3 linked regions of the Elephas maximus indicus genome follow. The protein of the gene in region 1 interacts with the protein of each later gene in a pairwise test. Links are inferred from orthologs where the notes say so. Each region holds a gene or a part of one and is shown on either strand. Other genes may lie near its edges.

What was found.
Region 2: the proteins of nuclear envelope pore membrane protein POM 121C-like (region 1) and LPXN interact in binary tests that used the Homo sapiens proteins (3 or more experiments, as listed by UniProt). The two-hybrid records come from large-scale screens. The link is inferred for Elephas maximus indicus from reciprocal best matches to the Homo sapiens genes POM121 and LPXN.
Region 3: the proteins of nuclear envelope pore membrane protein POM 121C-like (region 1) and AGR2 interact in binary tests that used the Homo sapiens proteins (3 or more experiments, as listed by UniProt). The two-hybrid records come from large-scale screens. The link is inferred for Elephas maximus indicus from reciprocal best matches to the Homo sapiens genes POM121 and AGR2.

What each region holds. Positions count from the first base shown.
Region 1 is NC_064830.1:110,390,437-110,401,046, forward strand, and holds the start of nuclear envelope pore membrane protein POM 121C-like, read right to left. Parts: upstream 5,838-10,610; 5' UTR 5,790-5,837; coding exon 5,200-5,789; intron 4,085-5,199; coding exon 3,869-4,084; intron 3,551-3,868; coding exon 3,392-3,550; intron 1,743-3,391; coding exon 1,662-1,742; intron 217-1,661; coding exon 45-216; intron 1-44. UniProt on the Homo sapiens protein: Essential component of the nuclear pore complex (NPC). The repeat-containing domain may be involved in anchoring components of the pore complex to the pore membrane. When overexpressed in cells induces the formation of cytoplasmic annulate lamellae (AL).
Region 2 is NC_064825.1:120,438,847-120,449,456, forward strand, and holds the start of LPXN (leupaxin), read right to left. Parts: upstream 6,184-10,610; 5' UTR 4,564-6,183; coding exon 4,512-4,563; intron 1-4,511. Other genes in the region: E3 ubiquitin-protein ligase ZFP91, read left to right, coding at 9,669-10,018. UniProt on the Homo sapiens protein: Transcriptional coactivator for androgen receptor (AR) and serum response factor (SRF). Contributes to the regulation of cell adhesion, spreading and cell migration and acts as a negative regulator in integrin-mediated cell adhesion events.
Region 3 is NC_064826.1:77,634,176-77,644,785, reverse strand, and holds the start of AGR2 (anterior gradient protein 2 homolog), read left to right. Parts: upstream 1-4,358; 5' UTR 4,359-4,400; intron 4,401-4,421; exon of another isoform or gene 4,422-4,562; intron 4,563-5,346; exon of another isoform or gene 5,347-5,460; intron 5,461-8,305; 5' UTR 8,306-8,312; coding exon 8,313-8,442; intron 8,443-8,706; coding exon 8,707-8,770; intron 8,771-8,879; coding exon 8,880-8,932; intron 8,933-10,271; coding exon 10,272-10,345; intron 10,346-10,610. UniProt on the Homo sapiens protein: Required for MUC2 post-transcriptional synthesis and secretion. May play a role in the production of mucus by intestinal cells. Proto-oncogene that may play a role in cell migration, cell differentiation and cell growth. Promotes cell adhesion.

The sequences.
Region 1 (10,610 bases):
AACCTGGGGAACCCACTCCTCCCGCACCACAAGAACTACTGTACCTGAGAGAAACCACGAGTAGAACTATAGGAACTGGTAATGGCATTACGGCTGGAGCTTGGGATGCCAACCGCACACGTGTTCGTCACGGAGCTCACAGACGAGGTGCGGGACCTCTTGTTCAAGTGGTCATCTGAGCTCTGGGAATGGAAACCTCTCTTCAGAGAACCAGGTCTAATAAAAGGGAAAAAGAGAGTTAAACGTGCTACTAAAAGCAGCACTCTTTGGAGGCTTCATCCAATCTGGTCACGGCACCTTTCTTAACTGAAAGGAAGATGTACACATTCCTGGTTTTACTGTTAACAATTTAGCTGAATACATCCAACAAAGTCAGTAAGGAAAAGCCAAATATTTAAAGATTAAATGCACAATTCCATTTTTAGAAAATGTACACTAACCTGTGGGGACAGGAGTGGGGAGAACAGGATGGGACTAGAGAAATTACTAAGGGACAAGAGGAAACTTTTTGAGGCAATGGATGTGATGTGTTCATTATACTGTACAGTGCTGGTTTCACATGTATATACATGTCAAAACCTATCAAAGTGTGCACTTTACCATATGTCAATTAAACTTCAATAAAGCTGTTTTTAAAAATTGGAATTTCAGAGTTAAGCTGAACCATTTTTCCTAAACTGCCAACTGAAACAGAAATTCCCTATACATCTTTATCAAGAACTAGTCATCCAACCTCTATTAAAATGTAGACAACTGACCATCTCCTAGAGTGATCCATTTCAACCAGGCACCAGCTTATTCTTATACTAGATTAAAATTTACTTCCTCTAACTTCCACCTGTGGCTTGTATTTGGAGCTGAACCAAACAAGTTGCTTTCCCTCTTTCATGTGACAGTCCTTCAGTTTTTGGGAGACCTTTATGCACCTCCCTATTTCTTCATTTCCCCTGAAGTTTTTGTCCTTTGGGCTAGTACTTCTGTACCTTCCAAAACCCCGCACCCATCACCACCACCTGCTTGGCTGCTCCAAATCCCTTTAACATCTTATCTGCTTCACTCAGAATGAATCCCCTCTTACAGTGCATGGACAGCCTGAACACGAACAGGAGACGTAAAGCAGGACTACAACTTCCCTGCTGCACTCTGGTCTCTGTTCTTCGAGTCAGGAAGGAGGTGCACATCAGCCTTCTGGGTAGCCAGATACTGGGGACTCAAAGCCAGCACCTAAGCTGTCCTGAGTTTTCTCACACATATTTCTCAGCCACTTTCTCTCCCATTCAGTTCCTCCTCAAATGTATTTTTAAACTCAAAACACAAATAAAATCTAATATACTGATATCAAGTTCCCAGAAACTTAACATTTACCGTAAATTTCATATTGCTGGATTTTATCCATCGCAAAACACCTGTGATCTTTGTTTATATACTTGGCCATCAGTCTTGGCACATTTCACCCATATTGATGTAAACACATTAAGTGGAATTAGAAGACAGTTAATTGTGTTACATTACTCAAAATATTCCTACCTGATGTGAGAGATCTGAACCTGAACTACTAATGCAATGCAAAAGCAAAGAGGAAAATCTACAGGGCAACGCTCTGGTAATACCCTTTTTCAAAATAGTCTACATCCATCCCATCCAGATGGGCTCTCACTTACTTAGGCACAAATGAAGCGGGGACTCCATTGGCCACCAGGGGCTCGAATGCTGAATGTCCACTTCCACTGCTATCATGGCGCCTGAGGCAAATAAAAAAAACTCTTGATAAAATAACTTTTTATCCTTACAGCATATATAGTATCTCTAGGGAGCATGTGTTCCAGCTAGATAAGAAAAAGTTTGCTTCAAAGCCGTAGGATTCCGAGAGGTCAATTTAATCTAAGATTGTCCAGATAATAAGGAAAATATGAATTACGTCAAGACCTTTTGAACTAGTCAGGTGTTACTGGTTCTTTACTTGCTAACTTCACACTGAAGTGTTACAATCACAGATTTAACATATCGCCACCCACAAACTAAAAAAAAAAACAAACAAGCAACAAAAACCTTTAAGGACCAAGCCACACTCCCATGGTGCTCCAGAGGCTGATGTGGTAAGTCTGTCGGGAAAACCCTCGCCGGTCATGTGTGAGAACAGCCTATGCAAGGCGGCACGTGATCACTACTTATTCCAATTAGGGGAAAATAATACAGGATCCTCAGTTATGAACTTCCCAGAGTCAAGAAAAATTACCTCCCTGGAGAAGATGAGAAACCTGTGTGGACTGTAAGAATAGCTGTTGCCTCCTCTTCATCCTCACAACCCCTGCTACTCCTGCTTAGCTGGGTGACACCAGCTCAAACTGCTCACCTGCCACAGACCATAAGTCACATTTCCAGTCACCATCACCTCATCTTCTATATTATACAAGTATATTTCCATTTATTAAGATTTCCCCTACTTAATTTAGTAATCTACAATATCAAAGCTGATCAACTCTGAAACTGTCGGGTATGAACAATCTGGTCTAGGTAATTGTGGCGGTGGTTATATTTTTCAGGTGTGGCATCTGATATCTCACCTTATACAGAGAAACCCCCTTCTCATTACCTTCTGTTATATACACCTTGTTTTGTACCCCTCCCCTGTACACTTATAGTCTTCAATCACCTTGTTTATTTCATTGTTTTTTAATTTGTCTATCTCCCTCAAGAAAGCCCCTTGAGGGTAGGGACTTTGTTTTATTCACTGCTCTATCCACAGTACCTAGAACAGGCCCTGGCACACAGTGGGTACCCAATTAATATTTGTTAAATTAAAAAAAGTGCGGAGTCCTTACTGATTCCTTGGAAAGCCATAAGTAGTTCTATATCATGACTAGCCACTTCATCTCTTAAATTTGGGAAACAGACTGTTTACTGTACTTCCGTTAAGGTATCACATAAGGCAAATAATGAAATTGGTTCTACTCTCATTACTGGTAAATCTACCACACTCTAGTCTTCACTCTTCTTTGGCAAGCATTTCCTTTAGCACAATTATGACTTTTAAACAGGTAGTTGGCCAAATAAATCAACAACACAAGATTGTAAGTGGAAGACTTTGAGCATTCTCTCTCAAATATAAAATTAAACATGCTAGTATCAAAAGTGTGAGGCTGATATGGCTAATACTTGTTGGTTTATCTCTAATACTTATAAAAAAGGTAGACTATAAAATTTATCTACCCATGGAAATGAACAGCATTAATGCCTTTGTTACCAGGCTCCTTCATGAAAGCCAGAGAAGGGAATATGAAGGTTCATAAACTAAAGTTGGCTTCTGTATATTTTTTGGGAATGATCTGTATTTCAACAAATTCCCAGGAGTACACAGGGAGGCTGTTTAGTAGTCTGCTGGGCCTATTACCTTCTTTTATTTTCCTGGCCATCTGAGAATATTTGGTCTTCCTCCTCCACTGTTCTTTTCTTCCTCTCCTTCAGGGCACTCAGTACAGTCTCCTTTGCACATGGGTCTGGAATATTACCTGATGGTGAGGACAGTGTTGAGCTGATTATCTGCTCTGGTCTGCAATGAAAAACAAAAATCTAGTATTAAAATATTTTAATTACTACACATTTAGCATAGATGCTAATAATAGGAAATCAAAACCCAAGCTAGCAAAAGTGTAATTTATACATTCACAGAAATTGCTCTTAGTGATTTAAGCCACCGTTAAGGTCAAAAAATTAAAAAAGGTTCAATGGCTACAATTTAGGGTTTCTCTCATTCAAATAAACAGTTATTTCTTCTTTTTCCTTCAGAGTTGTCAAAGGAATAACCACACAAGAGTAACAGAGAGTAAAGTGGACACAAAAGGGAATCTGTTCTTTCCACAATACTCACACTGGTGAACGAACCAACTTGCTATCAGGAGGAGCAATCCTCACTGTCACTGGGCTGCACACCATCTTGGAATTACGTGCAGACAGCACCGTCTTCTTGTGGTAACCGTTCCAGCACACCGTGGGAAGTGCCCCCAGGAAGGAATATTGGGCCTGCTGGATTGGGTAACTTCTCCGAGGTGTTATTACAAACCGATTTGGCAAAGTCCCACAATTCCTGCAAAGAATGGGAGATACGCCATGGAAGCAAAGAAGTATAAAAGAATGTCAGAAAGTTAAAGTGGCCAAACAACCATGTGGGTTTGGACGTCTTTCAGAGAGCTTAAATCTCTTTCTAACACAGAACACAATATTTCTATGGCAACTTTCCCCCATTCTATTTAAGGGTAGAAATTGGCAGCTGCTTAGCAACTGTCTCAACAAGGGACTTCAACAATTTGCTAGGGAAGCTGGAACCCCTGCCCATGCAATGGCATACAAGTGTGTGTTAGGGTGCACAGGGAGGAATTCTTCAAGAATTCTTCAATCTTTTCAGTCTTTTACGCTAAAACTCCAGTAATGAATACACCCAAAGCCAAACATTTTTAACCAGTTTCCACACCTAAATGTTCACCTTCTCAAACAAATGTACTTATCAAGAATCTAACATTTTCACCAAATTTTTGTATTCGCCTGTATCACCTCAGCTATTGGGACTAAATAAAAATGTCTCTTTAATTTGAATTCTCTGGAACACTTCGAGTTCTGCTAACTGATATAATTTCTCACTGGTCCAAAGACCAAAATACACTACAGACTATGCTTGAAAGAAAAAGTAATTTTCACTCGAAATAGAAATATTAGTGCTTTATCAAATATACTGCTAAATCTGTAATCCCCCAAACCGACCCAAACCCGCTGCCGTTGATTCCCACTCACAGCGACCCTACAGGGCAGAAGAGAACCGCCCCCAGGGTTTCCAAGGCTTAATCTTTACGGAAAGAGACCGCCACATCTCCCTCCCGCAAAGCGGCTGGTGGGTCACACCGCGGACCTTTGAGTCAGAGTGGGCGCTTTCACCACTGAGCCACCAGGGCTCCCCGCTGAATCTATACTACACGAAAATTCTGGCGGTTTTAAGAACTGGGAGGGCGGGGAATAGCGCTGGCCTCACATCTCCTTCCACCAGCGGAGAGGAGGGCAGGAGGCCACGGACACGCCAAGCGTTTAAAGAAGGCAAAAATCACAGGGAAGCCGCTTCCGACTGAACGCAAACCAACGAAACGACCAAACACCTAAGTCCTCGCCTTAACGCCCCCCAACAGACACCGACAAGGGCCCCGGAAGCCCTACCGCCGGGGCAGCCTCCTCGAGGCTCGGAGCACAGGCGTGGGGGGCCCGGGCTGCGCGCGGTGGCCGAGGCCGGCCGAGGGCGCCGGCGGCGAGGGCCGGGCGGCCGGGCGGAGGGCGGCGGGCCGGCGGCCGGGCCCCTGCGGCGGGTCCCGGGCCTCCCGAGCGGGCGGAGGCCGCGGAGGGCCGGGCTTGCCCAGGTAGCTGCCCATGAGCAGCAGCTCAGCCGCGGCGGGCCCCTCGAGCAGCGCCCGCGGCTCCAGCAGGCTGCCGTTCACTGCCGGCTTGGCCGGCGGCGAGGGCGGCCGCGTCCGCTGGCGCCGCGCGTTCCGACCCGGCGCCGAGGCGCGCGCACCCCGGGGCTCGCGGCTCAGTCCCCACCAGGCCGCGGTAGCCCCCACGGCCAGCCAGGCCAGCGCGGCCGCCGCCGGCACCAGGAGCAGCACGAGGCCGAGCAGCGAGAGGCCGAGCAGCGAGAGGCCGACGAGCGCCGCCCCGGCCGGGCCGCCGCAGCCCCCGCCCCGGCCGTCCCTGACGCCGGCTGCCGGCCGCCGCCGCTCGCCTCCTCCAGCCGCCGCAGCCGCCGGAGACATCGCGGCTCCGCGCCGCGGAGGACTTAAATATCCCAGCGTGCACCGCGCGGCGCGCCGCGTCACCGCGCCGGCGACGTCACTGCGCACGCGACGGCGCGGAGCGACGCCATTGCTTGGCAACTCGGTAGACCGAGACCGAATTTGAAAAACGCGGCTTTGCTCCAGAAGCGAGCTCTGAGTCTCGAGGTTTCCCGCGTGTCTCCCCGCAGTGCACCAACCAGACATGATCCTGTGGAAGAATCTTGTTAAAAATAAAAGCAGGGAAAGTACTCACCTAATCCTTACTTCATGATATTCTCACGTAATTCCGAACCCTAGATGTTTTCCAGGGGCTCATCTCCCCTCCTGGAAACCCCGGTGGCCTGGTTAAGACCTACGGCTGTTACCCGAAGGTCGGCAGTCAGTCCACCAGGCGCTCCCTGGAAACCGTAGGGGGCAGCTCTCTGCCCTATAGGGTCGCTATGAGTCGGAATCGACAGCAACAGGGTAATCTCCCCTCCGGAAACCTTGTGGCGCAGCGATTAGAGTGCTCCGCTGCCAACCGAAATGGCGGTGGTTTGAACCCAGCAGCCGCTTTCCAAGAGAAAGATTGGCAGTTTCCTCCCGTGAAGATAACCCGCTGCTGTCGAGTCGATTCTGACTCAGAGCGACCCTACGGGACAGAGTAGAACTGCCCCACAGGGTTTCCAAGGAGCGCCTGGCGGATTACAACTGCGGACCTTTCGGTTGGCAGCGGTAGCTCTTAACCCCTACGGCGCCAGGGTTTCCCTGTAAAGATTACAGCCTTCGAAACCCTATGGGGCAGCTTACTCTGTCCTATGGGATCTCTATGAACCGGCATCCACAGCAAAAAGTATATTTTTGTTGTTGTTTTTAAGGTTAATCTCCCCTCCAGGGCCGCTATGAGTAGGAATCCACCGGACAGCAATGGGTTTAATCTCCCAGAAGAGATCGTTACCAAGCACTTGCCACAATTGCTAACAGAGACTGAGTTTTTCAGTTACCTTGTTTACTCCAAAATATAAATAGCTAGAGGGGACTAACTTCAACAGCAATAGGGAAAAGCAAGACCAAACCAACCATCCTATTAAACGTAGAACTACAAACCAAACCAAACCCAGTGCCGTTGGGCTGATTCCGGACTCATAGCGACCCTATAGGGCAGAGTAGAACTGTCCCTTAGGGTTTCCAAGGCTGTAAATCTTTAGGGGAGCGACTGCCACATATTTCTTCCGTGGAGTTGCTGGTGGTTTGAACCGCCGACCTTTTAGATCGCAGCTGACCGCTTTAACTACTGTGCTACCAGGGCTCCTGAACTAGTTCTAATAAATTTTGGATCAGAGAGTCCCTAGGGCTGCTGCTTCAGGTCCTGAATCTGAGTTTCTACAGTACAAGCTGGTTAAGCAGTGCTAGAAAACAAACAAACCCAGTGCTGTCAAGTCGATTCCCTACCAAATTTTGAAGATTAATGACCAGTTCACCTATGTTAAATTTGGTGGTCAGAGAAAATAGCGGTTGCCTAGGGCTGCAGAGTAGGGTGGGGGTGGTGGGGAATGGGAGTGATTGCTAAGGGTTACAGGGTTTCATTTTCAGGGAAGAAAAAAGTGTTTTAAAATTAGATTCTCGGGATGGTTGCACAACCCTGTGAATATACTAAAAAACACTGAATTGAATTCAATTTAAATGGGTGAATTGTATGAGATGTGAATCATATCTTAACAAAGCTGTTGAAAAAAAATTGGTAGTATGCCAATCCAGATTTTGACCTAGCTCAGCTTTCTCAGCATAACTCATTCATTGATTTCTTCATTCCATTACTGATGTACACTCAAATGACTTGGGGGGAGGGGGGTAAGGTCTAGAAGCCCTCGGTTTGGTAGCGAAGAAATATGTGTAAATAGAAAACTACAGTTCATAGAGGCACAGAAAGAGAAGGCATGATAAATGGGCAGGAGGGCCAGGGAGGTGCGACTTGAGCTGAAACAGCTGGCTAAACCAGGCTCCAGGCAGGCACACAGAGACGGAAACGAGTGTGATGCAAGAGTTTCCAAATAGTTCAGTATGGCCGGAGATGCAGGTGTTTGGGGGGTAAGGAGGTTGGAAATGTACGCAGGGCTTAGCAAAGGTGCCTCTGAGGCAACTTGGAGAGATAAGCCAGCTCGGCTTCTATCAGTTTAATATTTTGTGATTTTACATAAAATTTCATTTGAAAGGAAAAGTGGGTAGGCTATCTTGCTTTAAAAAAAAATCTAATTCAATTACAGATGAGAAGACCCAATCCAGAAAAGTAACATGGCTTATCCAACATTACACAGTAACCTGCTGCCATCGAGCAGATTCCGACTTATAGCGACTGTCATGGATTGAATTATGTCCCCCAAAAATGTGTGCATCAGTTTGGCTGGGCCATGATTCCTGGTATTGTGTGATTTTCCTGTATGTTGTAAATCCTGCCTCTATGATGTTAATGAGGGAGGATAGGTGGCACTTGCGTGAGTGAGACAGGACTCAATCTACAAGACTGGATTGTGTTTTGAGATGTCTTGAGATATAAAAGAAAGAAGCAAGCAGAGAGACATGGGGACCTCATACCACTAAGACAGCAATGCTGGGAGCAGAGCACATCCTTTGGACCCGGGGTCCCTGAACAAAGATGCTCCCAGTCCAGGGGAACATTGATGAGAAGGCCAACAGAGAGAGAAAGCCTTCCCCTGGAGCTGATGCCCTGAATTTGGACTTTTAGCCTACTTTACTGTGAGAAAATAAACTTCTCTTTGTGAAAGCCATCCACTTGTAGTATTTCTGTTATAGCAGCACTAGATGACTAAGACAGCGACCTTGCAGGGCGGAGCAGAACTGCTCCACAGGGTTTGCAAGGCTGTAGTCTTTATGGAAGCAGACAGCCACATCTCCCGGCTGCTGGGTTCAAATCACCAACCTTTCAGTTAGCAGCCTAGCTCTTTAACCACCAGGGCTCCTCTACACAGTAAATTAGAAAAGTAGTAGCATAGAAAAGAACTCCAAATTCCTCAGACATTGCTCTTTTTGACACAGTAAATAACTGCTTCATATTCTGGATTACAAGGAACAGAGACATGGCAGAGAACGCCTGGAAACTGCAGGGGTCACAGAACCCTTTCACTGGCAAGTAGTCAGCTCCAAGTCTGAATGGTAAACCTACAGAACCTGGAAACCACATAAGGAAAAGGAACAATTTCTGAAGCCAAAGCTCATACTTTAAAACAGAATAAATGAAATTAGCCATCTGTGGACGTGTCCTGAGGGCTTTTCCAAGTCCACAGCCCGGATCAGGCTGCAATCTCAGGAAGCTACGGCTAGAATATAACTGATGAGACTGAAACTGTTCTGGTTTTACAGTGTTGGATTCATTCTCAAGATAGAAATGCCCCTTCAGTAGAGAAAAACAATCCAGTGGGCTACCTATTGGAAGCATTCTCCCCAAATATTATTGTTTGTTCTGACTTCATGGTGACCAAGCAACTTCATGCTCCGTGCTTTGGTTCCCTCAGTTGCCTAGCATATATTGCAGGCAGTAAGACAAAACTAACCATGCGTCTTGTCTTGACCGCCCACACAGACTCTGTGGCTCCTCCTCAGTGAAAGCATCACCACCCGGGAGAGCTGGAAGGGATAAAAGAGGCCGGCCTCACAATAACCAAACTCACGAGAAACAACTGTATAGACCAGAAACCAATTTATTTGTACTGAAGTATATTTCTTTCCAGTCTCTAGAATATTCTATATGCAAAAAGACAATATAAGCAGCTAAAAGATAAGCTAAAATTTGGGAAAAAAACAATTCTAATGCACATAACCAAAAAAGGATTACCAGTTGCTGTCGATTTTGACTCATGGTGACCCCATGTGTGTCAGAGTAGAACTATCCCCCATAGGGTTTTCTTTGGTTATTTAAAAATTTTATTTTATTGTTGTTGTTGAGAACGTACACAGCAAAACATACACCAATTCAACAGTTTCTACATGTACCATTTAGCGACACTGATTGCATTCTTCAAGTTCTGCAACCATTCTCACTCTCCTTTTCTGAGTTGTTCCTTCCCATTAACATAAACTCACTGTCCCCTAAGGTTTCTGTCTTTCAATTTGCTGTTCTTGCTTTGATCCCATATAGTTCTTAAAAGAGCATAATGCTCAAGGCAGACCTTTTTTACTAGCAGAGCTAAATTATTGTTTGGTTTTAAGATTTCAGGGGATAGTTTCGGTTTAAGGTTTAAAGATTATCTCAGGGCAATAATTTCAGGCGTTCATCTACCATCATGGTTCCAGGAAGTCTGGAGTCCATGAGAATTTGAAGTTCTGTTCTACATTTTCCCCCTTTTGATCAGGATTCTTCTATAGATCTTTGACCCAAATGTTCAGGAACGGTAGCCAGGCACCATCCAGTTTTTCTGGTCTCATGGGAAAAAAGGTGGTTGTTCATGGAGTCATTTAGCCACACATTCCATATTTCTCCTTCTATTCCTGACTCTCTTCTTCCTCTGTTGCTCCAGGCAAATAGAGACCAACTGTTGTGCCTTGGGTGGCTGCTTGCAAACTTTTAAGACCCCAGGCACTACACAACAAACTGGGCGGTAGAACAGAAGCACTAAACATATTAGGCCAATTTAACTGGGATGTCCCATGAAACCATGACCCTAAACCTCCAAATCAAGGAACCAAATCCCATGAGGTGTTTGGTTGTACATAATCAGCTTCAGCAGCTACTCTTTTTTGTTGTTGTTGTAAATGTATCATCACACAACATCTGCCAGTTCAACTTTTTACAGGTGTACAACTTAC
Region 2 (10,610 bases), on another chromosome or scaffold:
GCTTTACATGAACAGATATACGCACACCCCTGTTCACTGCAGCACTGTTTACAATAGCAAAAAGTTGGAAGCAACCAAGGTGCCCATCAAGGGATGAATGGATAAATAAATGATGATAAATTCATACAATGGAATACTATCCATTGACAAAGAACAATGATGAATCTGTGAGACATTTCATAACATGGAGGAATCTGGAAGGCATTGTGCTGAGTGAAATTAGTCAGGCACAAAAGGACAAATCTTGTACGACACCACTATTACAAGAACTCAAGAAATAGTTTAAACACAGAAGAAAATGTTCTTTGATGGTTATGAGGGTGGGGAAGGACGGAGAGGGGTATTCACTAATTAGATAGTAGTCAGGAACTATTTTAGGTGAAGGGAAAGACAACACACAATACAGGAGAGGTCAGCACAACTGGATTAAACTAAAAGCAAAGAAGTTTCCTGAATACAATGGAATGCTTCAAAGGCCAGAGTAGCAGGGGCTGGGAATCTGGAGACCATGGTTTCAGGGGATATCTAGGTCAATTAGCACAATAAAATCTATTAAGAAAACATACTGCATCCCACTTTGATGAGTGGCATCTGGGGTCTTAAACACTAGCAAGCAGGATCTAAGATGCATCAATTGGTCTCAACCCACCTGGAGCAAAGGAGAATGAAAAACACTAAAGTCACAAGATAATTATGAGCCCAAGAGACAGAAAGGGCCACAGAAATCAGGGACTACATCAGCCTGAGACCAGAAGAACTATATGGTACCCAGCTACAACTGATGACTGCCCTGACAGGGAACACAACAAAGAATCCCTGATGGAGCAAGAAAGCAGTGGGGTACAGACCTCAAATTCTCATAAAAAGACCAGACTTAATGGTCTGACTCAGACTAGAAGGAGCATGGAGGTCATGGTCCCCAGACCTTCTGTTAGCCCAAGACTGGAACCATTTCCAAAGCCAACTCTTCAGACAGGGATTGGACTGGATTATAAGATAGAAAATGATACTGGTGAGGAGTGAGCTTCTTGGCTCAAGTAGATACATGAGACTATATAGGCAGCTCATGTCTGGAGGCAAGGTAAAAGAGCAGAGGCGGACAGAGGCTGGCTGAATGGGCACAGGGAATACAGAGTGGAGAGAAGGAGTATGCTCTCATTAGGGGGAGAGCAACTAGGAGTACATATAGCAAGGTGTATATAAATTTTTCTGTGGGAGACTGACTTGATTTGTAAACTTTCACTTAAAGCACAATTAAAAAAAAATACTTACGAATAAATCTAACCAGAGATGTAAAGGGCCTATTCAAAGAAAAATACAAAACACTACTGCAAGAAACCAAAAGAGATCTATATAAATGGAAAAACATACCATGCTTATGGATAGGTAGACTCAACATTGCGAAAACGACAATTCTACCCAAAGCAATTTACAAATACAATGCAATCCTGATCTAAAGACCAACGATATACTTCAAAGAGATGGAAAAACTTATCATTAACTTTATATGGAAAGTGAAGAAGCCGCAGATATGTAAAGCACTACTGAAGAAGAAAAAAAAGTGGGAGCAGTCACACTACCTGACCTCAGAGCTTGCTATACAGCTAAGGTAGTCAAAACAGCTTGGTACTGGTACAACAACAGATACATTGACCAATGGAACCGAATTGAGAACCCAGATGTAAATCCATCCACCAATGGTCACCTGATCTTCGACAAGGTCCCAAAGTCCATCAAATGGGGAAAAGACAGTTTTATGTTTTTTTTTTCCTAAACAAATGATGCTGGCAAAACTGGATATCCATCTGCAAAAAAAAATGAAACAGAACCCATACCTCACGCCATATACAAAAACAAATTCTAAATGGGTCAAAGACCTAAATATAAAGCCAAAAACTCTGAAGTTCATAGAAGAAAACATAGGATCAACACTAGAAGCCTTAATACACGGGATTAACAAGATACTAACTACAACCAACCACACAAACTCCAGAAGATAAGCTAGATAACTGGGATCTTCTAAAAATTAAACATTTATGCTCATCAAAAGACTTCACCAAAAGAGTAAAAAGAGAACCTAGAGACTGAGAAAAAAAATTTGACTATTACAAATCAGACAAAGGTCTAATTTCTAAAATCCACAAGAAAATCCAACACCTCTACAAAAATAAGACAAATAATCCAATTAAAAATTAGGAAAAGGAAATGAACAGACACTTCACCAAAGAAGACATTTGAGCAGCCAACAGACACATAAGGAAATGCTCACAATCAGCCATTACAGAAATGCAAATCAAAACCACAACAAGATACTATCTTACCCCAGTATTACAGGCATTAATCAAAATAACAGGAAATAACAAATGTTGGAGAGGCGGTGGGGAGATTGGAACTCTTACGTACTGCTGGTGGGAATGCAAAATGATACAACCATTTTGGAAAACGATATAGCGCTTCCTTAGAAAGCTGGAAACAGAAATACCACATGATCCAACAATCCCACTCCTAGGAATATATCCTAAAGAAATACGAGTTGTCAAACAATATGCACACCCATGTTCATTGGAGCATTGTTCACAATAGCAAAAAGATGGAAACAACCTAGATGACCATCGACAGGTGAATGGAGAATCAAACTGTGGTACATACACACAATGGAGTATTACGCGATGATAGAGAACAACAATGAATCTGTGAAGCATCTCATAACATGGATGAATCTGGAGGACATTATGCTGAATGAAATAAGGCAATCACAAAAAGACAAACATTGTATGAGATCACTACTGTAAAAACCCATGAAAAGGTTTACACACAAAAAGAAATAATCTTTGATGGCTACGAGGGAGAGGAAGGGTAGGGATGGGAAAACACTAAACAGACAATAGATAAGGGGTAACTTTGGTGAAAGGTAAGACAGTACACAATACTGGGAAAGCTAGCACAACTTGTACAAGGCAAGGTCATGGAACCTCCATAGACACATCCAAACTCTCTGAGGGACCAAATTGCTGGGTTGAGTGCTGTGGGGACCATGGTCTCAGGAAAAATCTAGCTCAACTGGCATAACTTAGTTTATAAAGAGAATGTTCTACATTCTACTTTGATGAGTAGCATCTGGGGTCTTAAAAGCCTGTGAATGGCCATCTAGGATACTCCACTGGTTTCACCCCCTCAGGAGCAAGAAAAAATGAAGAAAACTAAAAGATACAAAGGAATGATTCATCTAAAGGACTAACGGACCACACCTACCTTGGCCTCCACCAGACTGAGTCCAGTACAGCTAGATGGTGCCCAGCTACCACCACTGACTGCTCTGACAGGGATCACAACAGAAGGTCCCGGACAGAGCTGCAGAAAAATGTAGAACAAAACTCTAACTCAAAAAGAAAGACCAGACTTGCTGGCCTGACAGAGACTGGAGAAACCCTGAGTGTATGGCCCCCAACACCTTGTCAGCCAAGTAATGAAGTCACTCCTGTGGCTCATCCTTCAGCCAAAGATTGGACAGGCCCATACAACAAAACAGACTAAAGGGGTGCACCAACCCAGGGGCAAGGAATAGAAGACAAGAGGGAACAGGAAAGCTGGTAATAGGGAACCCAAAGTTGAGAAGGGAGAGTGTTGACACGTCATGGGGTTCTTAACCAACGTCATAAAACAACACGTATACTGTTAAATGAGAAACCAGTTTGTTCTGTAAACTTTCATCTAAAGCACAATAAAAAAAAAAAAAGGAAAGAAAAAAACTAAAGTAGAAAGAGAGTGAGACTTATTGTCTTAGAATGTTGGTAGGCAGGTTGAGAAAATTCAGGAATTCCAAATTTTTATTCTGTCTCATTTGTATTTTCTAAGCTTTGCTCCAACCAGAAGTCAAAGATCCTTCTGGATTCAAAATAAAAAGTCATTTACAATAAAGGCTGGGGGAAAGGGGAGACCCTGTATAAGAGAAGTAAACCATACCACTAAGAGTAGGGGTTACGCTTAGAAGCACGAGCTAGCCAGAATTATTAAAACTCTCCCTTTTGGGCTGTGAGTTAACAGGCCTTTCTCTTCCTGTTTTCTGTGAGTCCACATATCACCAACATACTGAGGTCATCTTGCCAGATTTTGTAATTTGAACATGACTAATTTCACTATGACAAATACAGGGCTACCAGTGGTGGTGGCAGAGGGGACGGGAAGATAGTGGTTGGGACAAGACTGAAAACTCTATAGCCCTTTATCTCACCGATAGCTCCAAACCCCCTCCAGTAATGAAATATCAACATTAAGAAGAAAGGAGTAAAGTGGGATCTCTCAGGAGTCCCCATGAGCTGCAATTTCACAGTCTGCTACTGGTTCCCTTTATGTAGCACACCTGTGTATTGAGAATTTAGGTAAAATCTTCTGGGTAGATAAAAGCTACTAACCTAGGAAGTTCTACAGAGGGAATATCTGCCCCTTTGTGCTAATCTGCCTTCAGTGCTATATGCCTGCAGAGGAGAAGAGGGACCCACCCGAAGACTTACAAGTAGCTATTAGGCTGATGACAATATGAAGAAGCTGTTCAGGTGTCGACATCAACAGCTACTGAGGTGTAGCCATCTGGATAATCTACACAAACGTTAGCTTCCAGGCTGCTTGGTACTTTCTGTATTTCTAGACCAGATTTCTCTACCATTCGTCTTGCTCAGGAAATGCAAAACTGTGCAAATCTACTTGTTTTTTATTATGTGGGTTGTTCCATTGGGGGGAACACCTGAGCCAATGCACTTTTCAAAAAAGGAGAAATGCCTTGTAACTTAATTGGCTTTGGCGTCAGATGCTCCTGAGAGTGACCTTGAAGAAATGATTTCATTTTTTCCTGGTTTCTCATCTGAAAAAAAGTGAACATTACCTACTACAGAGGGTTGCTGCAGACCCTAGAATGATTCGCATATATAAAAATGCCTCACTTTAGCCTGAGACACTGAATAAACATTAGTTCCTGTTTGAATAACCTACATGAAAACTATTAGGTATGCCTAAAATTTAAAAAAGTAGAGAGAGAGAGACAGAGAGACTACTGGAACTTGGCAGAAATGTAGATATCCCCAACCCTCACACACAGGATAAGAATTTGGATTCTACCCCAAGTCCAAAATGCATCTATCCCCAAGGATCAAAATAGACTTTACATCAACAATAGTTCGATGTTTGTTAAACAACACCTTCTCCTCTTCATTCAACGGTCTTCTCTTTATAAATTGGAATCAACTCGACAGCAGTGGGTTTTGGTTATTTGACTTTCTTGCATCCTCTATGTGCCCAGCCCTCAAATCACACCCCCAAAACAATTAGGAAAAAAAAAAAAAAAAGGACAATGTCCAATATGTGTTTTTTGTTGTTGTTTACACTTGCAACACGCTAAAGCCCAGGACACTGTAGAATTAATACAGCTTGGAAATTGGGTAAAGGTTAGGGAGTGACTTGGTGTCAGCAAGGATGCTGGAACAAACATTGGCAAAGCCTAAAAAAATAAGTCCCAAGAATGATAGGCTTTACTCCAAAGGTCTGAAAGCGGGACCTCCCCAGTTAAAGTGGCTAATCGTTCCACTGCTGGTTTTAATTGCCTTGTGGTGGGAGGAGGTATCATGTTTGTAGGCCATAGTAATCTGTTCCTTCAGAATTCCTCTGAATAAAAAGCTTAGTGCCAAAATCACTGATTCAACACTAATCCAGAAACAAAAACGAAACCACCTTGGCTTTTCTCCAGCCTCTGCAGATCCCTCATTCTTGTGCTTCGACTCCATTTCTCTTCCTCAAAACACCCTTTCCCCTTCTCCATTTTCTTTCTTCCTTTCTTCCCCCCAAATCGCATCCCTGTAGCTGTGTGACTACCCTATAATCTCCTGTATCTCCCAAGGGGCAAAATGCCCATGTTAAAAATGACAGTTTCAATCACGACTCAGTCCAAAAGTATTTCTGTAAAGTTTACCCTGTGGTTAGCACCAAGCTCTCTGTTGTGCTACTACAAAGAGTGAACCTGGCTTTCCCCCAAACAATCATAGTTCCTCATGTCTCACTCTTGGTTGGCCGAAGAAAGCAGAGAAGTGAAAATAAAATCTCCGAGTACTGCTGTCAATCTGGCTAGAAGTACATCCCACCATACATAGACAGGGCAGCCAAGTCTTCATTCCCTCAGTTTCTCCTCAAAGCAGCTCCACTCACCCAACTCTTCCATTGTCACACACCCAAGATACTCTGGTCCCACAGGTTGTAAGGAACTGCTTTTGCATGTGCTGAAGAAGAGGACCACAAAGGAACTGAATGAGACAGCATGAAGCAGCCTCTATAACCCTTTCTGGTTCCTGTATTTGCTTAGCACTTCCTCTCTTTTGATTTGGTGATTTTTTTTTTTTTTTTTTGGTAGGTCACAGTTTTAAAATGAAATAGGACATAGGCAGGTTGTAAGATTTGAATTCCTGTGGTGGACTGGCAAGGAAGAGTCAAAATAATTTAGCAAAATTTCACTACTTACTACATGCCAGAACTCATCTTTAAGTCATGGAAATGGCAGATTTGTGCTTGTGTATTTTCTCAGTGTGGGTCCCACTGTGACTGTACATCAGGAAACTTGCTTTCTTCTGTGAACGTGGGTGACAATAGAGGCACAGTGATCATAAAATTTCCATCAGAGCTAACCAGCACCCAATTCATTTTGTTGTCTTTTTTTTTTACTTCATTATTCAGAAATTACACTTATCCCTTTCCTGAATAAATTGTAAATCCTTAAAAGGCAGGGTTGATGTTTATTCACATTTGCATTGCCAGGGCCTGGCTTATTTCAGGGGTTCAAAAGTCAAACATCTATAGAGGGCCCGTCATCAGAAAAGATCATATTTGGTAAAGTGGTACTGTTTTTGTTGGCTGCTGTTGAGTCAACACTGACTCATGTGACCCCATGGTAAAAAGGGAAATCCAACATGAGATGGATCAACATGGTGGCTACAGCAATAGGCTCAAACATAGGAACGATTGTGAGGATGGTCCAGGATAAGGCACTGTTTTGTTCTGTTATACATAAGGTCACCATGAATAGCGCCAACTCAACAGCCGCTAACAGCATGAAAAAAGAAAAATGAAACTGGAAGGTTTAAGACAACAGGTGCTAAACTGGTGACATCTCGATTCAGCAAACTTCCTGCCTAGCTGCATTGCCTTAGAGCAGTTTCTTTGCAAAGTGATACTGAGGTTAACTTTCACCTTTTTACCACTGAGATTTTACTCACCTTGAATGAAATAAAAATTTACCAAATGAGTCAGAGAAGGCAGTATGTAAAGAACTACAATTAGGGTCCTGTGAAATAAGTATTATCACCATTTTTACCAGCGGTGAAATAAGTTCAAGGATAGTAACTTGCTTGACAGAATTAGTAGGTAGCTTTGTTAGCTACGTACTATAATCCAGTTTGACTTCAAAGTCCATCATCTTTTCTCTACAACACAATGTTCTCTTTTTAGGTTAATCTAAAGAGATCATTCATTTTCCATTCCATTGTGTCTGTAAGACTTTTTTGTTTTTTTAATTAAAAGATTCCCGTTCTGCATTACTCCCAGTAACCACTGGATGTCAGTGCTGTTCCAAGAGCCTGCTCACTGCAAGCATGGGTATGAAAAAATTTCCATCCACACTCTATCAAACAGTTTTTACAACTGAAAATGACATTAGTTCTATGAAAGTGCAAAACACTCAGTAGAGAATATAAAACATTTGCCTAACCTTAAGTGGTAACTGAGCCAAAATACTGGAAGGAAAACCGCACTTCAGCACTTGGCTGGCAAGTAACTGCACTGCATCTACAGTTTAACTGAATTTTTAACGTGAAATCTAGAATAGGATCCCAGATCCTGTTTCCATTCTCATCCTTCTGGGGCTTTTAACCTCGGATGCTTTATTTTCCAGAGTTAAAGGACTGTTCTTTCAAATCGTTCCTTGAGTATAACGGTCGAAAGAACGAGATGCAAGAGGCCAACTGCATCACTGATTGCAACTTAGAAATGAGCAAATGGAAACTCCCTTTTGGCGCATCAGGACAATTTAGTTACACACGGTATTGGGCAGACAAATAACTTCTCACAAAGCTGCAATTCTGTGTTTCCTGTGCAGTTGAAACATTCATAAACCGCAGGTGTCTTCGGGACAGGAAGCATGAGGTAGACCTTCAGCTTCCCTGGGGAGGTCACCTGAGACACGCTAACAACCGTTTGCCCTTCCCTCCATCTCAGGAACCACAACCCAAAAGGTATGCAGCAGTCGCCAGCTTCTTGATGCCCTAACAACGTCTGGTAGAGAATCAATTCTATAATTCGTTCCACAAACTTTTATTAAGAGCTGACTGAATGCTAGGCATTGCGCTAGGCCCCTCAGGACCTAGCCAAATCAGATTCAGTTCCTGCTTTCCAGAGGTCCACAGGCTAGTAGATCAGAAACAGGATGGCAACACGAATAATGTAGACATGAACCCTAGCCTGCCCCGGGGGAGATGCCAAGGGAAGAAGCATTACGCCAACGCTAAAGAAAAAGCCCAAAACAACCCTCGCTGACCAACAGCTCCCTCGCCACTTGGGCTGGCACTGCGCAGGCGTCACGCCCCACCCCGGAGGCACTGCCAACCTAAAACCCAGTGCCGTCGAGTCCCTAGAAAAGTAAAATCGGACCGCGGAGAGTAAACTACTTTTCCCATGGAGCACCAGTCACCAGCACCAGCACCCTCTCCGTCTCGGTTTCTTTTTTTAGCCGCAGGCCAAAGTAGCTAGGACTTCATATCCCAGGGTACCTTTGGGAAAGTTAACCATACGCATGCGCCAAGAGGCGGGCTCTCATTGACCCCCACGACCCCGCCTCCGTTCTACCACCGCCATTTTGTTGAGACTTTCATCCGGCAGCCGACGGGACTTTTTTTCTTAAAGGAGAAGCGACAGCTGAAAAAAGTCCCCCGTCACTGTGCAAGACCTGGCGACGCTGGGGATAAAAAAGCCAAAGACAGGAAAGTGGGACTCAGGGTGGAGGCAGAAGAACGACCAGACTGTTTCCACGAATTGAGGCTAGAAAGAGCCCTGGTGGCATTAGCGGCTCCTAAGGCAGGTGCGCGCGCAGCCAGTCCAGGGTGCGCGCCAGGCGGGGAAAGAGGTGCGTTTTCTTCCTACTAGCCTCCCTCGCGAGACCTGCCCCTCCCACCACCTCTAGCGCCCGTTGATCTCCGGAGCGGGGGGGGGGGGGGAAGGTCACTTTCGGATTGTCGCGAGACGCAGCCGTTTAACGGTGAGAGTGGGTGCGCGGGGAAGGAAACCTCGCGCGCTCCCTTGAAGCCGTTTCCTGATTGGTCAAAGAAAGGGGTGGGGGAGGAAACCCGGTACGCCGCTGCGTGAGAGGCCGACAGGGGCGGGGTCACAAGGCCGTTCCTCCTCTCCGATTGGTCCGTGGAGCGTCCGTGTCGGGCGCGCGCGCGGCGCCAGCGGCTGCGGGCAGTGAGTGGCAGGGGGCGGGGGGGCTCCCTCGGAGCTGGGAGGAGGGGAGGGGGAACAGGAACGCAGGGTGAGAGTGAGCCCGAAGCTCCGGGAGGCGAAGGGGGCGGGGGGAGCAGCGCCGCAGCCGCCTCCGCCTCCGCCGCCTGGGACGAGGGGGTGGGGACGGACGAGCCCCGATGCCGGGGGAGACGGAAGAGCCGAGACCCCCGGAGCAGCAGGACCAGGAAGGGGGAGAGGCGGCGGTGGCTAAGGCGGCTCCGGAGGAGCCCCAGCAGCGGCCCCCTGAGACGACGGCGGCGGCGGCGCCTGCGGGGACCACTAGCAGCCGCGTGCTGAGGGGAGGCCGCGACCGGGGCCGGGCCGCTGCGGCCGCCGCCGCCGCTGCTGTGTCCCGCCGGAGGAAGGCCGAGTATCCGCGCCGGCGGAGGAGCAGCCCCAGCGCCAGGCCTCCCGACGCCCCAGGGCAGCAGTCCCAGGCCGCGAAGCCCCCGTCTCCAGCTCAGGGCAAGAAGAGTCCGCGACTCCTGTGAGTAACGCAGTGTTTCAGGCGGTGGGAAAGACCCCCCTGTCCGCACGCAACCCTCCCGGCTCCCGTAGAGTCCACTCCACGTGACATCCTGCCTGCTCTGCCCCCTGCCGGCTCCGCACGCCTAATGTCACCCTGCTTTCCCAGTTACCCTTCCGAGCACTCCCCTCCGGCCCCCCATGCCTTCTGCCTTTTGGGGACACTTCCCGACTCTCTGAAATCATCCTTTGTGGAATACACCCCTCCCTGTCCCCAGTGGCCCACTTGTCTGCCGCCGTAGGCTTATTCCGCGCTCTGGCAACTGCACGTCTTTGTCAACCTATCCGTTTTCCTCTTACAGCCACCCTCCTATATTACATCACGTCTTCGTTAGGAAATCCGCAGCACGATCTTAGCCTTCAAAAATGTGTCCCTGTCTTCCCATTAATTAGCCCAAGAGCCACTTACACTAGTATCTTTATGTAGCTCTTTTTCACTCAAATTTTCACATAACTTTCTCCTTTCTGGAAATGGACAACTTACTGGTGGGGGTAAAAACGTGGCTGTGCCAATTTTTAAGTGTGGAGTCTTTTCGTATAACAAAATAGATGGA
Region 3 (10,610 bases), on another chromosome or scaffold:
GTAGAATTAAGCTTTAAAAAAGAGTCATTTCCACACTTAAAGAGCCATGACGGCTCTGACAGCAAGTCTGCTTGTTCAATGCCACACCCTAAGGAGTGGATTTGTCATCTAACAATATTGACTCTAGGGTCAGATTCCAGCTGCTAAGGACACGTCTCCTTAATGTATGCATATAAAATCCTACTTTCGTATGTGGCTATAGTAGTTAGTAGACCAAGATCTTTTTTTTAAAAAAATGACCCATCTTCAGTCTGTCCAAATTCATTAGTAACATATCACTTCAATGGGAAGTTTTAAGTATTTACTGAGATTGTTCACTTTAAATTCCAAAATAATGACATTAATGCTTCCTTTAAAAATGCCCATCTTCAAAAAGATAAGGAGTCATGGGGAAATTACTTTGAATTTTTTATATATTTCAACTTACTTTTTATTCCTCTGTCCCTATAACTCCCTATTTTAAACTTAAAACTAGTAGATTTAGGAAGAACTAAGTTTTAAAGTTTCAACTTTAATGCTCTGATTATCAACTAAACCCCAGGAAGCTGGAAACAATTATTTCTATGCACAAAAACCCTTCTAAGACATAAAGCAGAAACTCAAATGGAAATCAGCTCTTCCTGTATGTCAAAACACTTATGTGTGACTGTTTCTTTATGCGTCTGCTTCTCTGAGCCAGAGTTTGGGGAGAGCTTTCTTGCTCAACAACTTGATTTGCCATTTTGAAAAGTTTCCTTTAGAGGGAAACTTTCTAAGTACAAAAACTTATTCATACTTTCAGCTCTGTGAGATTAACATTCACTTACAGGTTTAGCACATCAATTCCTGACATCAGAAGGTGACTTGGTGGACTGAAAGGAATACTGGAGTAATGATCAGCAGTTATGGGCAATTTTTAGGTCCTCTCTCTCTCTTATTAGCTTTTCAACTTTGGGTTAATTATGTACACTCATCTGAGCTTATTTTTAAAAGAAAATAATAAACCTGCTGAGGTTGTTATTTTTTGCAAATATGCATTGAAAGTTTAAGCCTGGTGATAAGCTTTAGATCAAAGAGAAATCAATTAAGATTCAGCTATCATGGAGCTAATCAACTGAGACCTAAATGATTGTAATACAAAGAAGCAAGTGATATATTCTATAATGATAAATAATATTTTTGAGTGCTTATTATGTGCTATGTACCCTTGTAAGCACTTAACCTGTATTATCGTACATAATCATTCTACAGACCCAAAAAAGTCAGTCTTACTATCCCTGTTGATAAGTGAGACAAGCATGAGAGGTTAAGTAACCTGCCTGGGGTAGTATATAATTGTAATGAAGCCAGATTTGAACTCAGAGCAATCTGAATCTACAGCTTGCCCTCTTAATCACCACACAGCACTCCCTCTTGAGGATGAATTTTAAACTCATTAAAACTATATTCAAGGCCCCAGACAAATAGCCCAAAACACCTTTCAACCCTATTGTCTATGAGCTATCCAGATGAGTCATACTCCAGCTAGATGATTCCAGTACAATATCCCACAAACATATTTTGCAAATTCTATATCACTGGGTAACCTTGGTGGCGTAGTGGTTAAGTGCTACAGCTGCTAACCAAAGGGTCGGCAGTTCAAATCCACCAGGCGCTCCTTGGAAACTCTGTGGAGCAGTTCTACTCTGTCCTATAGGGTCGCTGTGAGTCGGAATTGACTTGACGGCACTGGGTTTGGTTTTTTGGTTATATCACTGGATCTATCTGGAAATCTTGCTTTCTACAACTGACTTGAGCATTCTAACCAGTTGCCATCAAGTCGATTCCCACTCAACGCCTTCTAAAGGATAGTAATCTCTACCTTCACTGAAAAATAATAACATCTGTTGTCTATACCACTTGCCTGTCCCTTGTGGCATTCTATGCTCAAGTAGATGGTTAATTTTTAATAGGGTTCTATCTTAATTCTTCAATCAGATTGTAAGTAACCTTATGGCAAGGACAATGTCTTAAACTTTATTGTTTTTCCCACACTGCAATTATCTATTTATTTGTCTGGCTACCTCATTAACTGACCATATCTTTTTTCATCTTTATATCTTTAAAAACAAAACCCATTGCCACTGAGTCAATTTCGACTCATAGAGACCCCATGGAACAGAGTAGAACTGCCCCATAGGGTTTCCAAAGCTGTAAATTTTTACAGAAGCAAACTGCCACAACTTTCTCTCGTGGAGCAGCTGGAGGGTTCGAACTGCTGACCTTTCAGTTAGCAGTCAAACACACTTTAACCATTACCTTCAATCATGGTATACTTGCTACAAAAATAGGTGTCATAAATATTTGGTGAAAAAAATAATTTTATTTATTTGAGTATCTAGGCAAGTACCTAGTGCATAGCTGTTGCTCAATAAATGCTAGTTATTGTTATTATGTCTCCAAATTTTACTCAAAAATAGAAAATAACATACTTAAAAATCTGCTTGAATAAAAGATTCCAACACTATAAATGACACAAATGTCTAAAAGACAATAGTGTGAAACCCATTTAATCAAGTGCAACCATTGTTAATGTCAATAGTAACAAGTTTGTTTTACTCATCAAACATTATTTCACAGGTCACATTATCAAGTTCTACTCAGAAATAGGAAATCAAAATTATCTACCTAATAGCAACAGATTCTTACAAAATCAGACAAATTCCAAAGACTGATCACATAGCATCATTGTTGGAAGCAATAAAGTTTGATAATATGTAAGGAAAAACCTTTATCCACCTATCTCCAGGCATTCTCATACCATCTACAAAACCCTAGTTGCCTCACACGAAGGTCAGAGCAGCCATGGTCTATGGCCAATCTGTTCTGTAATTACTGCCTTCTTGCTATGTGTTGGCCATCATGATCCATTCTGGGTTTTATGGACAAGGGATTAGGCACAGACAGAACAGTTAGGAAATCATTACATCATTATATTTAATTACAATGACCAGAGATATTTGTAATTATCCAGAATCTTCTCTTTCCTTAACTCATTTAATACAACAGCCATGTGTGATGTTCCGTTTTATGGATAAGGACACTGAAGTTTCAGAGATATTCAATGATGTTCTGAGATCATCGGTGAGTGAGCACCTGGTAGCAGGACTCTGATTGGAATCTTTTGGTCTCAAATTTCATCCATGTTCCACTCTTGGCAGGTAAAGATGGGAAGAGATGCAGGCTTTGGTCCCCACTCTGCCCCAAACTAGTCCTGGGGACCTTCGGCAGGTCATTTAATTTTTGACATTTTCATTTTTTCATCTACAAAATGGAGGGGTTGAGCCCAGTAATCTAAGGGCTGAATAGACAAAGGTTCTATATACAGACCTTTCCAGCTTTAAGAGTTTAGGTCAAATCATTGTTTTCAGTCAAACTCCTAAAGAAATTATCTCTGCAGACTTACGTAGAGTGGAATGAAAATTCAGCATCTGGGGAATCACTATTTTGTCCACAGATTTTAAGGCTTTATTAAAAAAAAAAAAAAGATACTTCGAAACCTTTTTGAAATACTATAGTAGCTCATTTTAAAAAGTTACTTTTATAAGGCTTGTATCTCATTAGTTAATTTTCTGTTGTTAAAGATTTCCTCATTCCGAACTGTTAAGGATTTCGTACAGCTTCATGAATAAAACAGAATTGCAGGAGTCTCAGAGAAAATACAAGTCCGGTCTTAAAGTCCTTAGTAATTAATTGCATGCTCTTGAGTAAAAAAAAAAAAGAAAAAACAGTTGCAGACCTTAGTTTCTAGGTCTGAAAAATAGGTAGATGGCTCCCTGCAAACCTAACAGTAAAGTTTGCCATCAAATGAGAAAATATGTGAAATGTGTTTGAACTCTTTGGAAGGAAGTTGCCGCACGTATTCAGTGGTAATTATTATGAGCTCACAGTGTTCGGATGCCTTTTTTCAATAACTTTCTCAGTTTTGAAATATTATATGGTGCTAGATTTTTTTTTTTTAATACCTATAGTGAGCATACATTTCGTTTGCCAGAAAGAGGGAAGTATATCATGGAAAATCATTTCTATCCTAATGGAGCATTATAGCACATAATATCACTGGGGGGGTTACAATTGTGAATCACTTCTTGTGGGTTTTCAACTAAATAAAGGCAATCTGCCCAAGGGGGAGAAAAAAAATCTACAAACCACAAACCCCATCCAATCAGGTAAAGACAGATCAGCCTTCAGGCAAATCAAACGTCTTCATTTAAAGCTTACCTGGATTTGGCATTCTGCCCAGCTTTTTCAAGTATCTTTACAATATACTTTCACAAACAGTTAAAAGCATGCGTACTGAACAGTATACCTTTTGCAACGTAGTATTAAAAACAAAGAACTCTTTAGTCCAGGGAAGACAACCATTTGGGGCAAAAAGGAAGGTTAGTTTCCGAGTTGAGTTAGCGACATGTAAATACAGGATTAGTGGGTGGGATTGAGGTGTGCTCTGGAGCATAAATAGAGGCTCAGGCTGCAGTGGCACAGTCTGACTTTGGGACCGCATCCTGGCTGCTCGCACAAGGCAGGTGGGTGGGGAAATACAGGTAAGACTCCTCGCAATAGCTTCAGAAGGGCACCTGCTAGAATGAGCTTTGGCCTCTGGCTGTTGTGGAAAGTTGCCAGTAATCAGCAAGCAGAGAAGAGTGAGGTAGCTCTAAGGGCAATGAGGTGGAATGTAGAGAGGGCAAAATGGAATTTCCACCTACTGCTTTCTTGGGCCACTGTGGGGTGGGGAGGTTTGAGCTGACAAGGTGTTACTTTCCCAAGCTGGTTCAAAGTAATGATTTCTCCTTTAGGAAACAAGAGGTTTAAGGTTGGGTGAACTCTAGGAGTTTGCAAGCCTGGGAAAGTGCCAGCTCACCCAGGGATTTCCTTAGTCACCACTCTGCTTCTCTTCTGCTGGCTAAAACCCAGGCCCACAGGCTCCTCAACTGTGAAACGCAGCTCAGATTGCCCACTTGAAATGTATTATTGCTAATTAGAAAACAGTGTTCTTTATCTGGTGTAAAGATATTCTTGTTGCTTCTCCCATCTTGCTTTCCGGAAGCATTTATGAATAAGAACACCAAAACCTCATGTAAGTTCACTCCTTGTTAAATACAAGAAGACCAGGGATAAAGTGACCAGCAAAAATGCTGGTTTTGTAGGGTGTTGTGTGTGTGTCTCCAAATTATCAATATCTTCCACAGTTAGCATCCTGTTTTGAGGGGGTTTATGCAGGAAGTTTGCAGAGCAGGGTCTATTCAGATTAGGAAAACGTGCAGACAGAATCTCAGAAAGTACCCCAGAGCAGGATGTTTGCACAGCAGGATTTATGTTAGGCTTCCTTGAGTTATCCTGCCATAAAACACGTGTATTATATCAGTAGTTCCAACCTGAAAACCGGAGTTATTTTAAGGGTTCTAATAGCCACTTGCCCAGGGAGAACTGTCAGTGGACTAAGTAAGTAAAATGCTTCACAACCAATTTACTACTATTTTTTCAAATGTGTACAGATGCTGTTATGAATAAAATACATAGTCAAATGTTGATAAATACTAATTAATAAATTCAAAGCAGTTATTTGCCATGATGTATTTCTGACTCAATTAATATTTCAAAAGTACAGTTATTCTCACAGAGAATTTTTTATTATTATTATTACATTAAATAGAAATCTGCATAATCAGAAGGCTGGGTATTATTGACCTGTATTACTCTGTCCTGTAGGGTCGCTATGAGTCGGAATCAACTCGAGGGCAGTGGGTTTAGTACGTTTGAACTGTTTCTGCAGAATGTTGCTGTTAGGTGCCATTCAGTCGATTTTAACTCAGGGCAACTCCACGTGACAGAGTAGAGCTGCCTCATAGGGTTTTCTAGGCTGTTACCTTTCTGAGAGCAGATCACCAGGTCTTTTTGCTGCTTGGTAAGTTCAAACACTCAGCGTTTCAGTTAGCAGCCAAGCGCACTTAACCATTGCACCCCCAGGGCTCTGTGTAGAATGCTAGGAAACAAAAGTTTTATTGGCATTTCTGCATCTTTATGGGTATAGTAAATGAAGAAAGTATCTCCCAGCTTTTTGCTTTTGTATTTTTTAAGACAGTTTGTGGCAATATACTATGATTGGAAAATAATTAGTGAGTTTAATACTGGGTACCATCTGGATTTGGTAACTTAGCAAGGGCCTTTTTTTTTTTTTTAATTTGCTAATATTTAGCAAAGATTTCCATTTAGGCTATCAGATCATGAGAAACTTTCCCCCTTACAGACACTAAAAAATGATAGCCTATTGGGCTTCCTTTGCAGAATTTATTTGATTTCATTCAAAACCTACACCAATATTAGAGTTAGGTGCTATAGTTTCATATTTCTGTTTAAGTAATTTCCGTATCCAGCTTTACTAGAATTCTGTCACCAGCCTTACATTTTATGGCCCCTGGATAATCTTACTGACTTGTTAATGCAACTAACTCGCTTTGCTAGCTAGCTCACTCCTTCACTCATCATAGATCTTCTCTTGCCATTCACTTTCCTGTCCACAGGCCTCTGCTCCAGCAGGAGTGTAACTTTTCCTAAGAATTGATTGTGGAGTACTGGAAAGGAAAAAAGAATTTGACAAAGAGACACCATGGGGTTTGTTTTTCTGTGTTATGAGTCACATAGAATGTTTTGTACATTAAGGTGCATGCCACAGCCACCTATCCGTGCAGACCAGGATAGAGAGCCAAAGAATTACATCACTGGAAGGAATTAGCATTGATGTACTCTACTCAACTCAGAGCTAACGTAGAGTTTGCATCCATGTCACACTAAGGACAGAATTTTGTGGTGCAAGTCACCATTTAAGTGACAAAGCTGGCAGGTTCTAAATAAAACAGGCAATCATTTTACTCAATTCTCATTCTTTAATTGCAATGTCCCCATCTTAGCTATGTATGTTTAGGGTTATTGTCTCAGGGTGAGAAGATGGCAACCAGCACTGCAAAACGGCAAGACCCAGAAGCCTTAGTTCTGGGCCCATCTCATAAGTCTTTTTTCTCTTTCTCTGAGGTTCAGATTCTTCATTTATAAAATGAGGCAGTAGGTAGGGGGGAAAGAGGAGGTAACCCTTATGGTGCCTTCAAGAACTATAATTTTTAAACATAGTATTTAAATATAAATTCCCTTTACTACGAGTGTACATTCATATACAGTGAAAGCTGTGAGAGTGGACTGCCTTGTTTTTCCAGGTCTTCCAACTTTTCTGCATTTAATAGGGTGCTATCTTACCACTTTTGTATCACTTGTTTTAGTGGAAAATATTTGAGTGTTCCTTCTCTGACAGGTTGCTGCCTTACACAGGTTCCTGCTCTCACAGGTTTTACTAGAGAGAGTGATCCTTGATGGCGAAGTGTTTAAGAGCTATGGGTGCTAACCAAAAGGTTGGCAGTTCAAATCCACCAGCCACTCTTTGGAAACCCTATGGGGCAGTCCTATAGGGTTGCTATGAGTCAGAATGGACTCGACGGCAACAGGTTTGGCTTTTATATATACATATATATGTATCCTGTTGGTGCAATGGTTAAAAGCTCCACTGCTAACCAAAAACTTTGGCAGTTTGAACCTACCAGCTGCTCCGTGGGAGAAAAGACCTGGCAATCTGCTCCTGTAAAGATTTCAGCCTAGAAAACCGTATCGGCCAGTTCTACTCTGTCTTATAGGATCTCTATAAGTCAGAATCGACTCGACACCAATGGGTTTTATATATACATATATGTTGTTTTTGTGTGCCGTGGAGTTGATTCCAACTCATAGTGACTCTACAGGACAGAGTAGAACTGCCCCATACGGTTTCCAAGGACCAGCTGGTAAATTTGAACTGCCAAACTTTGGGTTAACAGCCAAGCTCTTAACCACTGTGCCATCAGGGCTTCATATCTACCTATCTATCTATTAAATATACATATATTTTCTCCATATCAATCTGTATCTATATAGAGATAACCCCAGAAACCCAGTGCCATTGAGTCGATTCTGACTAGAGATATCTACCTCTATATAAATCTATATCTTTATACGTATATCATATGGTTCTATATCTATATAGAGATGGATAGATAGATAGGCAGGCAGACAGACACACATACTGCATATTCTTAGAAAAATCCTGTGGAAGGTAGCTTTTCACTCCAATCACATGTGCTCAGTCTCAGCAGAGCCTCAGTTCCTGTTGTAACCCACTGTTGTAAGGCAATCTGAAGATATTCAAGATGGCTAATGCATTTTTGCTTTATTAACTTCTCATTTATATTTTTGTTTTCCATATCAGATTTGCCATGAAGAAGATATCAGTGTCAGCATTCTTGCTCCTTGTGGCCCTCTCCTATACTCTGGCCAAAGATACCACAGTCAAACCTGGAGCTAAAAAGGACTCTCAACTCAAACTGCCCCAGACCCTCTCCAGAGGTAGGAATCCGCTTCTTGTTGGTTTCCAGTCACGGCTTTGTTGGAAAAGATGTCCTAACTCTTGGTACTGAGACTTGTGTGATGAATATATTTTGGTATCTATCCTTGTAGATTTATCATGGTTTATATCTATTTCTACTTTCTCCAGAGATTTTTCTTCTTTAGTACTGAGTGTATATCTATCCCAGTTTTTACCATTGTTTTTCAACAGCTTTAGGTCTAAGATTATAATAGCTTTAAATATTCTGGTTCATTTTGTCCTAGGCTGGGGTGATCAACTCTTCTGGATTCAGACATATGAAGAAGCTTTATACAAATCCAAGACAAGGTAAAGACAAGAACTCTGGGCAAAACTCTCAAGAGCACCACCTAGTGATATTTAACTATACATGAAATCCTACTCATCGAAAATTATTCAATCTCTTTGTTTCTTAAAGCAACAAACCCTTGATGATTATTCATCACCTGGATGAATGCCCGCACAGTCAAGGTAATTTCTTCTTCACAATATGATTTTCTTTTATAGGTTTTTAGATTTAGGGGCAGAGTTCAGATCATTCATCTTTGCGTCCTTAACACCTAGCTCAGTTGAATAAAAAGGCATATTTTATGTAGTAAAAATGTGTTTTAAAGTAACTTCGGATATTTCCACATGATTTTTATTAACCATTTGTGCATATTTTGAAAAACAAGTTTTAGGGTTTATCCTTAACTTCTTTGTTTTTATTACATCCCACATCTAATACATCAGCAAACCCTGTTGGGTTTATCTTCAAAATGTATCCTAAATCTAGGACCGGCTAAGTTCCCTACACTTAGAAAAGCTCCACACTTGGTTTAATGGTTTGCTGTCACTACTTTGAAAACTCTTAATAATTTTTGCACAAAGAGCTCGCATTTTCATTTTGCACTAGGCCCTATATATTATATAGCTGGTCTGGCCCACACTCAACTGCTGACTCTTGCTACTACCCTGGTCCAAGCCAACATCACATCTTGCCTAGAATACTTTAATGGCCACCTAAATGGTCTCTCTATAGTCAGATTCTCCATGGATGAGCCTTTAAACACAAATCCAGTCCTATCACTCATGTGCTCAAGTGGCTTCTCATCACAGGTAAAATGAAATCCAAATTTGGGGCCATAGCCTACAATAATAATAATACATAATCTAATCTGGTTCCTGCCTATCCTTCCATTCCTGCTACTCTCCCCTTGCTCTCTCCACACTACCTGGCCTGGCCCTAGTGCTGTTCCTCGAACATTCAAGTTCATGCCCATTTCAGGCCTCCTGCTCTTGCAGTCAGTTCCCTCTGCCTAGAGTGATCTACTCCGTAAATCTTAGAATGGATCTCTCCCTCACTTAATGTCGCCTCCTCAGGGAAGTCTTCCCTGAATTCCTCATAGTTTCTAAGCCCCTCGCTTTATTTTTCTTCAGAGTACATATCCCCAACCTGAAATTGTTATATATTTACTTACTTGTTTATGGTCTGTCTCCCATACGAGCATTTCAGTTCCATGAAGAAAGCACATTGTTGGTCTTTGTTTTACACTCCATCCCCAGTGCATAGAACAGTGCCTACTGCATAGTAGCCATTCAGTAAATATGGACTAAAAAAAAGTAAGCGAATGAATAAATGAATGAATGAATGAGTGAATATAAAAAAAAGCAAAGGTAGTCAATGACATAGATATTATTTCACTGATCATTTGCTAAAAGGGCAAAGTAGAGCACTGTATTAAAATACAGTTCAACTTAGAATGTAACAGAGAACAGTGGTTTTCACCGATAATGATATGGTACTCGATGACTGCTCATTTCATTATAGCTTTAAAGAAAGTGTTTGCTGAAAATAAAGAAATCCAGAAATTGGCAGAGCAGTTTGTCCTCCTCAACCTAGTGGTAAGTTTACTTTTCACCCTCACTGACATTTCTCCATGCCTCATTATCAGAAATGGATGATTCAGTTCATCCAGTCCTGTATGTCTTAGTCATACTACATTAACTGGGATCTATTCCAAACATCCCATCTCATAGATTGGAAAGAGAAAAGATATTTTATTTTATTGATCATTTACGTTATATGTCTATGCTTTTATTTAGTAATTAGTCATTTTAGGTTGCCTGAGAAATATTCCCCGGCAATCAGGATTTTCTCTATTGCTGT